3 linked regions of the Saccharomyces cerevisiae S288C genome follow. The gene in region 1 interacts genetically with each later gene. Each region holds a gene or a part of one and is shown on either strand. Other genes may lie near its edges.

Region 1 (4,299 bases):
ATACTTTTATTTTTAGGTTTGACTGCTAACACTGCACTAACAACGTTACTACTTTACATATGAGCACTGCCTTCAGAAAAATAAAACTAATATTTAAGAAAAGTGATAGTCAATATCCGCAAAACTATCGAGCGGAAATTAAATCAAGAAATAAGAATACAGTAATAACAAGGCACGATCTACTAATTGCACACGAAATGAAACAAAGGGCGTCGCTAGAGAGGAGCAATTCGATTAGGAATCTTCAGTCACAAGGTAAAAGGAGATCAGATTCAAAAGAATCTCGAAAATTGTAAGAAACGACATAAAAGAAGGGTGAAAAGGAGGGCATGCACTGTCTCCATCATTTTTAAGATTATTGGGTCTCAAGGAAGGAGGATGTATAATAGGAAATATCAAAGTCAAGAATAATGTTTCAAAATGATTTGCATCAAGATCGTTCGATACGCATATATACAGTCATCCACACACTTAATTTTTTAGCACTGGCGATAAAAAATGATTTATGAATAAAACTTCATCAAACTATTATGAAAAATATGTATTTCTATATTCTATTTATTATTATTATTATTGTTAGTGTTTGTTTTTCTATAAAAATATCTATAAGATTAATCCATAATTCTTTTTCTATTTTTTAATGTTATTTATTCGATATGTTTTTCATGAATTTGGGCATATCTACCAGAAGGATCTTCAGCACAACCCCAGTCGGCCTTTGGAATCCATCTCATAACGGTGTCAGCCACGGTCTTTTGAGGGAACAAAGCATCGAATTTTAGTCTGTACCAGAAAGCCTCTTTTGTGGTTGGAATGTCACTACCCCATTCGGCCTTTGGACTGGCAAACATTTCATCTGAAATGACTGCTTCGGCGGTATCTTTTAATCCGTCGATCCAGGAGTAACCAACACCGTCGGAAAATTGTTCTTTTTGTCTCCATAAAATTTCTTCTGGTAAATATGGCTTAGCATCTGGTTCTCCTGTGGTGTCGAATGCCTTCCTTAGAATGTACTTTTCAATACGTCCTTCCTTTGGTTTAATCATCTTTTCATTTGGATCGATGTTCATACACAATTGCAAAAATTCTCTGTCTAAGAATGGAACACGAGCTTCTAGACCCCAAGCCATCGTAGACTTGTTAGCTCTCAAACAATCTGCCAAATGCAAGTTCTTGACACGTTGCACGGATTCAGTGTGAAATTCTGCCGCAGAAGGAGCTTGTGCGAAATATAGATAACCACCGAAGATTTCATCGGAACCTTCACCGGAAAGAACCATCTTGACCCCTTGGGCCTTAATCTTTCTGGATAGTAAGAACATTGGAGTGGAAGCTCTGATAGTGGTAACGTCGTAAGTTTCCAAATGGTAGATCACGTCGTCCAAAGCATCCAAACCTTCTTGTAATGTAAAGGTGTGTTCATGATGAATAGAGCCGATGAATTTGGCAACCTTTCTTGCGGCTTGCAAATCTGGAGCATTTGGTAAACCGATGGCAAAGGAATGGAGACTTGTCCAACCAGCAGTGTGTAGCTTACCGTCATCGTCGATACCTGCTAGATGTCTTGCCTTACTATCGTAAGTTGATGGTTCGACATCGTTAGTGGCCTTTGCAGTTTCACGGGCAGCAATGGAAGCGATTAAAGAGGAGTCCAAACCACCCGACAATAGAACACCGTATGGGACTTCGGCCATTAATCTCTTTCTAACGGCTTTTTCTAAGGAGTGTCTAATTGCCATGTAATCTATTGGGGTGGAAGGAATGCGTTTTTCGTCCAGCCAATCTGGTGTGAAGTAACGGGTGATCTTGTCAGTCTTAGAATCGTATACGTGGCCCGGTGGGAATGCAGTGATAGTGTCACAGTCGTCAGTCAAACATTTTAGTTCGGATGCAAAATAAACGGTCTTTGGAGAAGCGGAAGAGCGTCCCATATATAATGTCGTAATACCGATTGGGTCTCTGGCTGCCACAATACGATCTTGTTTAGCGTCGTAAAGAGTCCAAGCAAACATACCATCCAAGTACTTAGGAGCGTCGATATCGTGCTTTAAGTACATTGGGATGATAGGCTCACAGTCACTCAGTGTTCCAAACTCGTAGTCTGCGCATTCTTCTCTTAATTGAATGTGGTTGTAGATTTCACCGTTAACACATAGCATGTACTCTCCGTCTGAAGAAGTAATTGGTTGAGCACCGGATTCCACACCGACAATGGCTAGTCTTTCATGAACAAATATAGTGGAGTTCTTGATAGCATTACCGGACCAATCTGGACCACGGTGTCTGATTCTTTTTGATAGTTGTAGAGCCTTTGGCTTATATCTATGCACGTCTTCGTGCCTGAAAGCGGCGAAAATACCACACATCTTAAGTTACGTCCGATTTATATCCTTAGCGTAAAGCAAGTTATACTTTTTCTTATTTTATTATGTAAAGGTAAGAAGAGTATGCGATCAGGGTCCAAACAGAATCTGTCTCCTAGTGGCGTTCACTATAGGGTTATATATGCGTATCTATAAATGCGCATAAATTCAAGAACGAACTATTTGTCATCTCGAGTGGGCAGCAAATTTTCAGTTTACAGAATGAGTCAAATGTTACATGAGTTAAGGCTCTTTTCCTTGTGCTCTCTCTCTCTGTCTGAGCCTGCCAAATGATAACAGTCATAGGCCCTGTACCTAATTTGCCGTCCACGGCAGCAGTACTGCTGCCGTGTGATTGGTGGATAGATAGTGCCAGCGATAAGAAACGGTAGTTGATGCCCGAAGGTGCTTTCCAGCGCAGAAAGACAGACCCCAGGCGTATTTGCGCTCACGTTGCACGAACACGGGCGGCATTCGTGATGACAATAGATTTAATTTAGATATGCACTGGTTTCCACAGAGACCAATCGACAGTCTTCCATGCAAGGTCACTTATTGTTAACGGCAAGTTTCCCTGGATGTCCGCTTTAAAACTGTTTCGGCACGGTTTAAAGGACACAAGTTTTGACTAGTCTACAATTTAAGAACATATAAAAAGCTACTTGTGTACAGATGAGATGACTACTCCCAAGTCAAAAACAACAAAAGAATGAAAGAAAAAAGAATCAGAATTTTATAAAAGCGTCCTTGTCATTCTTAAGAATGTAACAAGATCAATGGGTTGCGCAGGAACCGCTATCTCCATTAAAACCTCAGATCGCTCCGAGAAGAATTGTTCGATTTGAAACGCAAATAATATCATCGTATTCTTTTAAAAACTTGGAAGGTCATTGGTTTCTTTAAATGAAACCTCCAAAGAAAATCTAACGCGTCTTGGTAAAATATATGTACCGAGTGTTTCGCTTTTTATACCTGTTAAATGAAAATCGAAAAAAAAGAAAAAGAAAAAAGTTTTTCAGCACTTCTCTACGGGTAATCCTCGTATTTGAAGGTTTAGGGCTATTCTTGAAATTTTTCACTAAAATTTTCCAACTGAGAAAAAAAAAAGTGTATTACGGTTTTGATGAGATGAGATGAGATGTAATTATCATCCTCTATTGCCATGAAGAGAGATCTATTAAAAAGAAACGTCAAAGAATATGGTATTGCTTATATCAGAAATTAAAGATATTGCCAAGAGGCTGACTGCTGCGGGTGACAGAAAGCAGTACAACTCCATTATCAAGTTAATCAATGAACTAGTGATTCCAGAAAATGTTACTCAATTGGAAGAAGATGAGACAGAAAAAAATTTGAGATTTCTGGTTATGTCGCTATTCCAGATATTTAGAAAGCTGTTTTCCCGCGGCGACTTGACCCTTCCTTCGTCCAAAAAGAGCACATTAGAGAAGGAACAGTTTGTTAATTGGTGTAGAAAGGTGTATGAAGCGTTCAAGACGAAGCTGTTAGCTATCATTTCGGACATACCTTTCGAAACATCACTTGGGTTAGATTCGCTTGATGTCTATCTTCAACTTGCAGAGCTGGAATCAACTCATTTTGCATCTGAAAAGGGCGCACCATTTTTCCCCAATAAAACATTCAGAAAGTTAATCATCGCCCTATGGTCCTCGAACATGGGTGAAATAGAGGATGTCAAAAGCTCGGGTGCGTCTGAAAATTTAATCATAGTAGAATTCACGGAAAAATATTATACGAAATTTGCAGATATTCAATACTACTTTCAATCAGAATTTAACCAACTATTAGAGGATCCAGCCTACCAGGACTTGCTTTTGAAAAACGTTGGTAAATGGTTAGCTTTAGTAAATCATGACAAACATTGCTCTAGTGTTGATGCAGATTTAGAGATCTTTGTACCAAATCCCCCACAAGC
Region 2 (3,580 bases), on another chromosome or scaffold:
TTACTGGGTGCGGTACCATTAGAATTTGTGTTTTTCAATTTGCCGATGACGATGTTGGAATCAGGAATTTCAAATTTCTTCAAGGAAGTGGGAGGTGAAGTACTCTGAGCAACCACCTCCGAAAGTGGTCGCGGTGGTGATAAAAAGGGCATAATTTTCTCGGATCTTTCTTCAAATGTATCTTCACCAGTTAAACCGATGGCATTATGACCGAATTTCTTATTCAATAGGTTAACAATTTCAGGAACATTCTTTTTTTCGTTAACAAAGATAATGCATCTTTTCTCGAACCCTGGTTCCGTGTCATCATTTGAAATAGCATATAAAGTTTGTGCCAATGCTTTGATCTTGGATCCCTTGAAAGGACTTAAGGCAGAATTTATAACTTTAAAGTCCAAAGCGAATGGTAACTTATGCAGTCTGGGTGTCATTATAGGAACCACTGTAGGAAATAGTCTTTGCATTGTTTTATTAAACTCTTGAGGAATAGTAGCGGAACAGAAAATAAGGTGATTAATGTTAGGAATTCTCTTTATTGCGGAGTGCGTTTCTTCAAGCCATGACCTATCTAGAAGTGTGTCAGCTTCATCTAGTACTACGAAACCCACTTTGGACAAGACTTTATCAGGTCTAGTTATCATTCTTATGGAGAACAGGTTCAGTAGTTTTCCCGGAGTAGTGACTAAAATATCTATTCTATTTTTAATGTTCTCTAATAAATCACGATATGATGTGGCCTTGTCCCACTTGAAAGAGTTTAAGCCTAACAAGGTTTTCGTCTTGGAAACAGTTTCGTATACTTGGTCAACCAATTCATGCGTAGGCACCAGTATGATGGACCGAATCAGAACGTTTTTTCTTAATGTTTCCCATAATTCGGGAGTTTCCAACTCCTGTCTTTTCAAATAGTCTATTAAAGGTATCAAGTAGGCCATGGTCTTACCTGAACCTGTCTCAGCGGCAATCGCATGTATTTGTAACTTTGGATCCATTAAATTTTTGGATATTCTCTTAATGGCCACTGTTTGAATGGGACTCGGTATTATATTTTCACTGGTTTTTTTCCTACTATCTTGTAGCTTCAGGGACTCTTTGGAAATGATTTCTTTCACAGCGTCTCTGACAGGTGGAAGTATAAGCAATTGGTCGAAATTCGATATTTTTTGAATGAGTTTATTCGTACTGTCCATATTCATCTCGACGTCTTTTTTCAATCCACCATACTCTCCAAAGTTGAATGCTTGGTCAGGGTCATTCTTTTTGTTACCTTTTTTGCCTTTGGCCTTCTGTTTTCGGTTTTTATTACTACTGCCTGTAGGCACTGAAGCTAATGGAGAGTTTCCTTTATGCTTTGTTCTTGGGCCTCCCGCATAAGAACGCACTCCTATCTTGAGAAGCACGGGGAAAGACCACTGTGGTGAAATTACTGGCTTGAAAAAAAGCGACATTTGTCTTATTATACTTTAATCTGATCTGAAGAAGTATTTCTACTCATCACTAATATCTATTCCGCTATTATTATAGTTGTAATTTATGATTCCGTGGTAAGTGATTTGAACTTTTGCTTCCTTTCGAAAATTTCAAGAATATGGTTTGGTTGTGCTGTGCAAGAGCGGTTGTATTGCGAAATAGAACCCATCGAGAAAAGAAAATGAAAAAGACGGCATTAAAGACTAGCTCTGTTTTAAGACAAATATTTACAGGCCAGAGAATAAAGAGATACTCGTATGTATGAATTGTAGCCCCTTACACACATATGTATATATATCGATGTGAACATAGCATTTATTAACAGTTCTGCTCAGTACAAATGGTAGTAGTACTAGTGATGAGGTTACTCCGACACCGTTAACAGCGGTAGTAAAGAGAAGGCCGAGTAAACATAAGGTCGTTATGCTCTTAGGTTACTGTGGCAGCGGATACTATGGAATGCAATACAACCCACCACACAAGACGATTGAAGGTGAGATTCTCACCAAGCTCTTCGACGTAGGAGCCATTTCCGAAGAAAATTCATTGGCACCGAAGAAAAATTCCTTTATGGCAGCGGCAAGAACAGACAAGGGTGTACACGCTATGTTGAATCTACTGTCGCTAAAGATCACATTGCGAGAGGACACAGTAGCGAAGTTAAACGCCGCACTACCGCCCGAAATACGCGTGTGGGGTATCCAGCCTGTCAATAAAAAGTTTAATGCTAGATCCGCGTGCGATTCTCGATGGTACCAATACCTTATCCCAGAATTTATACTCATTGGTCCACCCCGGAGTTCTCTTTTGCATCGAAACGTGGGGGGATGCTACCGCGAAGACGGCTCGCAAGAGGTGTGGGATACGTTCCTGGAACAGACGCGTGGGAGATTTAGCGGGGATGAGCTGTGCCGTTTGCAGGACACTGCACAGAAACTAAGCGAGAGCGATCCTTTGGTACAAGACTACGTGGGGCTATTGAGCGGTACCCTTAGCGGCTACTGCTTGTCGCCCTCGAAGCTGGACGCGTTTGAGGCAGCCATGCAGGAGTACGTGGGAACGCATAATTTTCACAACTTTACCACAGGAAAGCTTTGGGGGGATCCTAGTGCTCAGCGCCATATCAAAAAGGTTGTAGTGTCGCAGGCCTCACCGGGATGGATATGTGTGCGGATCCACGGGCAGTCGTTTATGTTGCATCAGATTCGACGAATGGTAGCGCTTGCCGTACTTGCAGCCCGTTGCCAATTGCCGCCTAATATTGTACGTAACTATTTTAACGCCGGGCCTAGGAAATACATTCCGAGGGCGCCCGCACAAGGCCTATTATTAGAGGGACCTGTGTTTGACGGGTATAACACTAAGTTGCGCAATTTGCTGTATTGCGAAATCCGCCCGGACGATATCACTCTTGAGCGCATGTGCCGTTTCCGAGAACGCCAGATCTGTACTGCGATCGCACACGAGGAGACACAGCGTCACGTGTTTTGCCATTTTGTACGACAAATGAACCGCCTGGCCACGCCTCTAATCTAGCCGCCCAATGTCGCGGGTTGACCCGCGACATTGGGCGGGCAATACTCTCATCTTATTGGCTATTCAACTTAGACAAGCGCCAGTTGCGCGCACAAATTTGGTCATGACCGCTCCACCGGCATGCGTGTCGTCATCCCGCATCATTCGGGACATTTTGGCCTTTTCCGCAGTGCGTAGTTGACGTGGGGAGAAAGCTAGTGGGCTGTCGCATATGGTTGGTTTTAGGTGGCGAAAGTTTCGCCGCGATAGCAATCATGTCCTCGACCTTAATCTCAATGGAATGGGTCATGCTCGGTAAGTGAGTCTCGCTGTATATAAGTATATATGTAATCGCCTAGTTCGATAGATACAAGGAGGTCTTGAGTATGTAGATAAACGAAAAGAAGATAACAAAAGGAAAATCTCAGCCTCTCCCCTTCCTCTTAGACAATGTCGCAAAGAAAATTCGCCGGCTTGAGAGATAACTTCAATCTCTTGGGTGAAAAGAACAAAATATTGGTGGCTAATAGAGGAGAAATTCCAATCAGAATTTTTCGTACCGCTCATGAACTGTCTATGCAGACGGTAGCTATAT
Region 3 (3,666 bases), on another chromosome or scaffold:
AAAAAAAAAAAAAAAGGGAACTTTAGTTAGTAATAATAGAGTTTTTGGACTGATCAAATTAATGGTGTTCATTTGATTCTGTCTAAATTAATTTCATCCAGAATTTTCTTTGCGCCATCGGCAATCATTCTTTCAGCTAGTATCTTACCACACGCCATGGAATCTTCTTTAACATTTTCTATTAGCATTTCAATTTCGTCTTCTACTGCTTCTGTGCCTTCAACGTCAACTACAATGGCCTTTAATAGTAATTTTTTAGTCTCTTCATTGTATTTAGATTCCACACCAATAGGAACGGAACAACCCCCCTCTAAAGTTCTCATCAAAGCACGCTCCGAAAGGCAACATATAGTTGCATTTAGATCGCAAATTTCGTCAAGAATCTTCATCATCTTGGTGTCACCCTTTCTAATTTCTATACCCAGGGCGCCTTGTCCAACTGCATGGTACATTGTATCCGAATGGAATCGCTGCGTAATTCTGTTTTCCAACCCCATACGCATCAACCCAGCAGACGCCAAGATGATGCATTGGTACGGAGATTTTGGGTCGTCTAGTTTTTGTAATCTAGTTTGTATATTTCCTCTGACACTTTCAAATTTCAAATGTGGGTATTTTCTTTTTAGCTGAGCAGATCTTCTCACGGATGAGGTTCCCACAATCCCCCCGTCTGGAAGGTCATCCAGAGACTTATAAGCAGAGTAAAAGGGCATGACAAGACAATCTGTTGGATCGACCCGCTTAGTGATACCCCCCAGCTCGAAACCCTCTGGTAGTAAAGTGGGCATGTCCTTCAGAGAATGAACGATCAAGTCAAGCTTCTTTGAGGGATCGTCATGGTAAAGATGGTCTTCCAACTCCTTTGTCCATAAAGCTTTACCGCCAAATGAGTACAAAGGTTTGAATTGAATCTGGTCACCAAGAGTTTGCAAAGTGAAAACCTTGCAGTCGTAGTCCGGATACTTTTCTTCGATCAGTTTTAAAACATGGTTGGATTGTATTACCGCCAATTTCGATTTTCTCCCACCAATATGTAGAGTTTCAGGGCCCATAGTACGTGTGTATTTACCAACTACAAATTTATCTAGATTTTCTTCGCTTTTCTTTTTTTCTATTGTTCTAGATATTAATACGGGATGAGAAGAACAGAATATTCAAAATCTAATACAGCCCTGTACCATGCAAACACGAGCGTCAATCTGCCAATGACCTTGAATTCAGGCTATGTGTAGCAATAATACAGATAGTTAGTAGCCTCGTTTATATAAAGCGTTCCTTTACTTTTTCATTTTCTTTCTTTTTTTATGTTTGATTTTTTTACTTTTTCACTTTAAAAAATTGCTGAAATTTTCGTAGCCAAAAAAAAGACCTTCATTGCTTACTCATCGGTTTCTTATTGGTCAGACGCTCCCCAGGGTCAATTGACAAGGAGAGAAGGAATGTTATATGGGAATTGCTGCGTAAAGATGGTCAAAAATCCTGGACTGCCGTACGAACGACAATGTAAGGATGACTGCATTAGCCAGAAAGACATCTTTACCCCCGGTGCTGCCAGGGAGCAAAATAATTACGAAAAGTGGACGCAAAGTTAACTTAAACTACAAGGGTAGCAGCAGAATGTGTCGGTGGTACCGGTGTGATAATGCCCCATTTGAGATGCTTGTAATTGTGGCCTAGCAATAAGAACGCAAGGCGTTTTTGTTGAAAGGAGAACAAGGTTAGACGGTGACGTTTAGGCGCATAGGCAATCTCCCCTTATTGTTCACCCTTATTTCCACCCTCAAACGATAAAGCTTGCTACTTTGATGAAAAAAATATATAAAAGGGATTGAAAAGCAGATCAATTATGTAGCAATAGTAGTAATAACTTGTTCAATTGCTTGTCTCAACTTGCCACAAACTATCATCAACATGAATAGGAATACGACTACCAATAAGAACGCGAATTTGAATAACAGTAGAAATGCTAACGCTCCCGGTGAAGCAGGTCATCAGAACAAGACGGGATTGATATACTGGACTAACCCTAGCAAGTCGGGTGCGAGCTTTGCTGCGACTCTGGTGAGTTTGCTGATCCTCAGAAATGTCAATGTTATTTCTGTTTTACTTAAGATCGGATACATGGTGTTGTTCACGAGTTTTGCGGTGGAGCTTTCTACAAAGGTGCTATTTGATAAAGGAGTAGTGTCTAGGTTTGGCATGCAAGAGTCTCCGGACCTTGTTGGCGTCTTAAAGCCTCATATCGACCGCGAATTGGATCGTCTGCCTGCGTTAGAGGACAGAATCAGAAAGTTAGTGTTTGCACACAGAACAAGAAACAATTTTACCATTGGTGTTTCCCTCTATTTCTTGCACGGCCTATTTGCTATATTCTCTATGAACACTGTTTTGATAATGACCACCATCTTTTTGTACACTGTGCCTTTAATCTACGATAGAAAGCAGGCTAGAATTGACCGTGCTATCGACAGGATGAAGGATCTAGTTATTCATAGGTTTCACAAAAATTACAACAAGGTGGTTGAAAAGACTGAACCATACATTGACAAGATTATCCCACCCCAAACCGATGAAGGCAGCTACTCAACCTCTATCAGTAACGAAAACAAATCTTCTACTTCTCAACGTAACAAGAGCGGCCTTTCCTCTTCTGAGTTTGACAACATGAACGACACGTCAGCCTCCAAAAGTGGCAAAGACAGCTATTCTACCTCTCAATATAACCGAGCCGAATATCCAGTTTCTCAGAATGAGAATATTGGCACCTTAAAATCTGGGAAGCAGGAAATACCAACAGAGAAGGATTTCAACAACAGGCATGAAAACTTCAGTAAACCAGATGTCAAGACATATGATCCAAGAACAGTTGATATTGAAGAAGAATTAGCAGCTCATCAGCGTGAACTGGAGCAAAACCTAAAAGATGGTGATTACAATCTGGTAGGAAGCAAGGAAATCCCAGATCCAATCACCGTTCCAGCTCCAACTAGACACACCACTAAACCCGCCGAAAGCCAATCGATTCCCATCAAGAATAATGAAACCTTACACAAAACCACGCACGGCCTAAAGCAAAAATTGCAACACGCATAATCTAGTTTTTTTTTTTTTCTCTCTTCTTTCTAGCTAGTAGTTCATTTCCTTTTCTTTTTTTCAAAGAGGTCATATTTATCACCAACTATATATTTTTTTGAAGAAAAGATATCATTACAACGATAAGTAGTTACAATATTTTTTTTATTTAGTTTAAAATAATGAGTAAATGACGTCGCATTTCTTCGCTTTTGTTATTTTTATTCTCCTCTCATTTTTGAGGAGAATGTTACAATATTTTACTAATGTCCTGAATAATATTTGATTTATGGCATAATAAAGAAATGCGAATTCGTTAATTTGTCAAACTTCGAAGAGCATCAACTGCCTTCCTGAATCCCATTCTTGCAGCCCTCTGATAATATTGTTTGGCCAGATCCAAATCAACTTCACAACCGACACCTTTTTCGTAATAAAATCCTAAGGCAAATTCAGTGCGGGCTAATTTACCGTCTGAACACTTGCTGCTCTTCAAGGCCCAGTTGAATGCCTCTTTATTGTTTGGTTTCAAAATATTTGGTGCTCCCGTTAAGTACCATCCACTTAAGGATAACATTGCCATCGGATTCCCCT

What was found.
Region 2: mutations in ASN1 (region 1) and PUS2 together harm fitness more than expected from each alone (negative genetic interaction), as found in Saccharomyces cerevisiae (one large-scale study listed by BioGRID).
Region 3: mutations in ASN1 (region 1) and RTN2 together harm fitness more than expected from each alone (negative genetic interaction), as found in Saccharomyces cerevisiae (one large-scale study listed by BioGRID).

What each region holds. Positions count from the first base shown.
Region 1 is NC_001148.4:820,687-824,985, reverse strand, and holds ASN1 (asparagine synthase (glutamine-hydrolyzing) 1), read right to left. Parts: upstream 2,367-4,299; coding exon 648-2,366; downstream 1-647. Other genes in the region: YPR145C-A (uncharacterized protein), read left to right, coding at 60-296; ribosome biosynthesis protein NOC4, read left to right, coding at 3,563-4,299.
Region 2 is NC_001139.9:381,761-385,340, forward strand, and holds PUS2 (pseudouridine synthase PUS2), read left to right. Parts: upstream 1-1,893; coding exon 1,894-3,006; downstream 3,007-3,580. Other genes in the region: MRH4 (ATP-dependent RNA helicase), read right to left, coding at 1-1,448; PYC1 (pyruvate carboxylase 1), read left to right, coding at 3,436-3,580. UniProt on the Saccharomyces cerevisiae protein: Mitochondrial-specific pseudouridine synthase catalyzing the formation of pseudouridine at positions 27 and 28 in the anticodon stem and loop of mitochondrial transfer RNAs.
Region 3 is NC_001136.10:92,694-96,359, forward strand, and holds RTN2 (Rtn2p), read left to right. Parts: upstream 1-1,911; coding exon 1,912-3,093; downstream 3,094-3,666. Other genes in the region: HEM3 (hydroxymethylbilane synthase), read right to left, coding at 69-1,052; YDL204W-A (uncharacterized protein), read left to right, coding at 1,440-1,592; ACK1 (Ack1p), read right to left, coding at 3,389-3,666.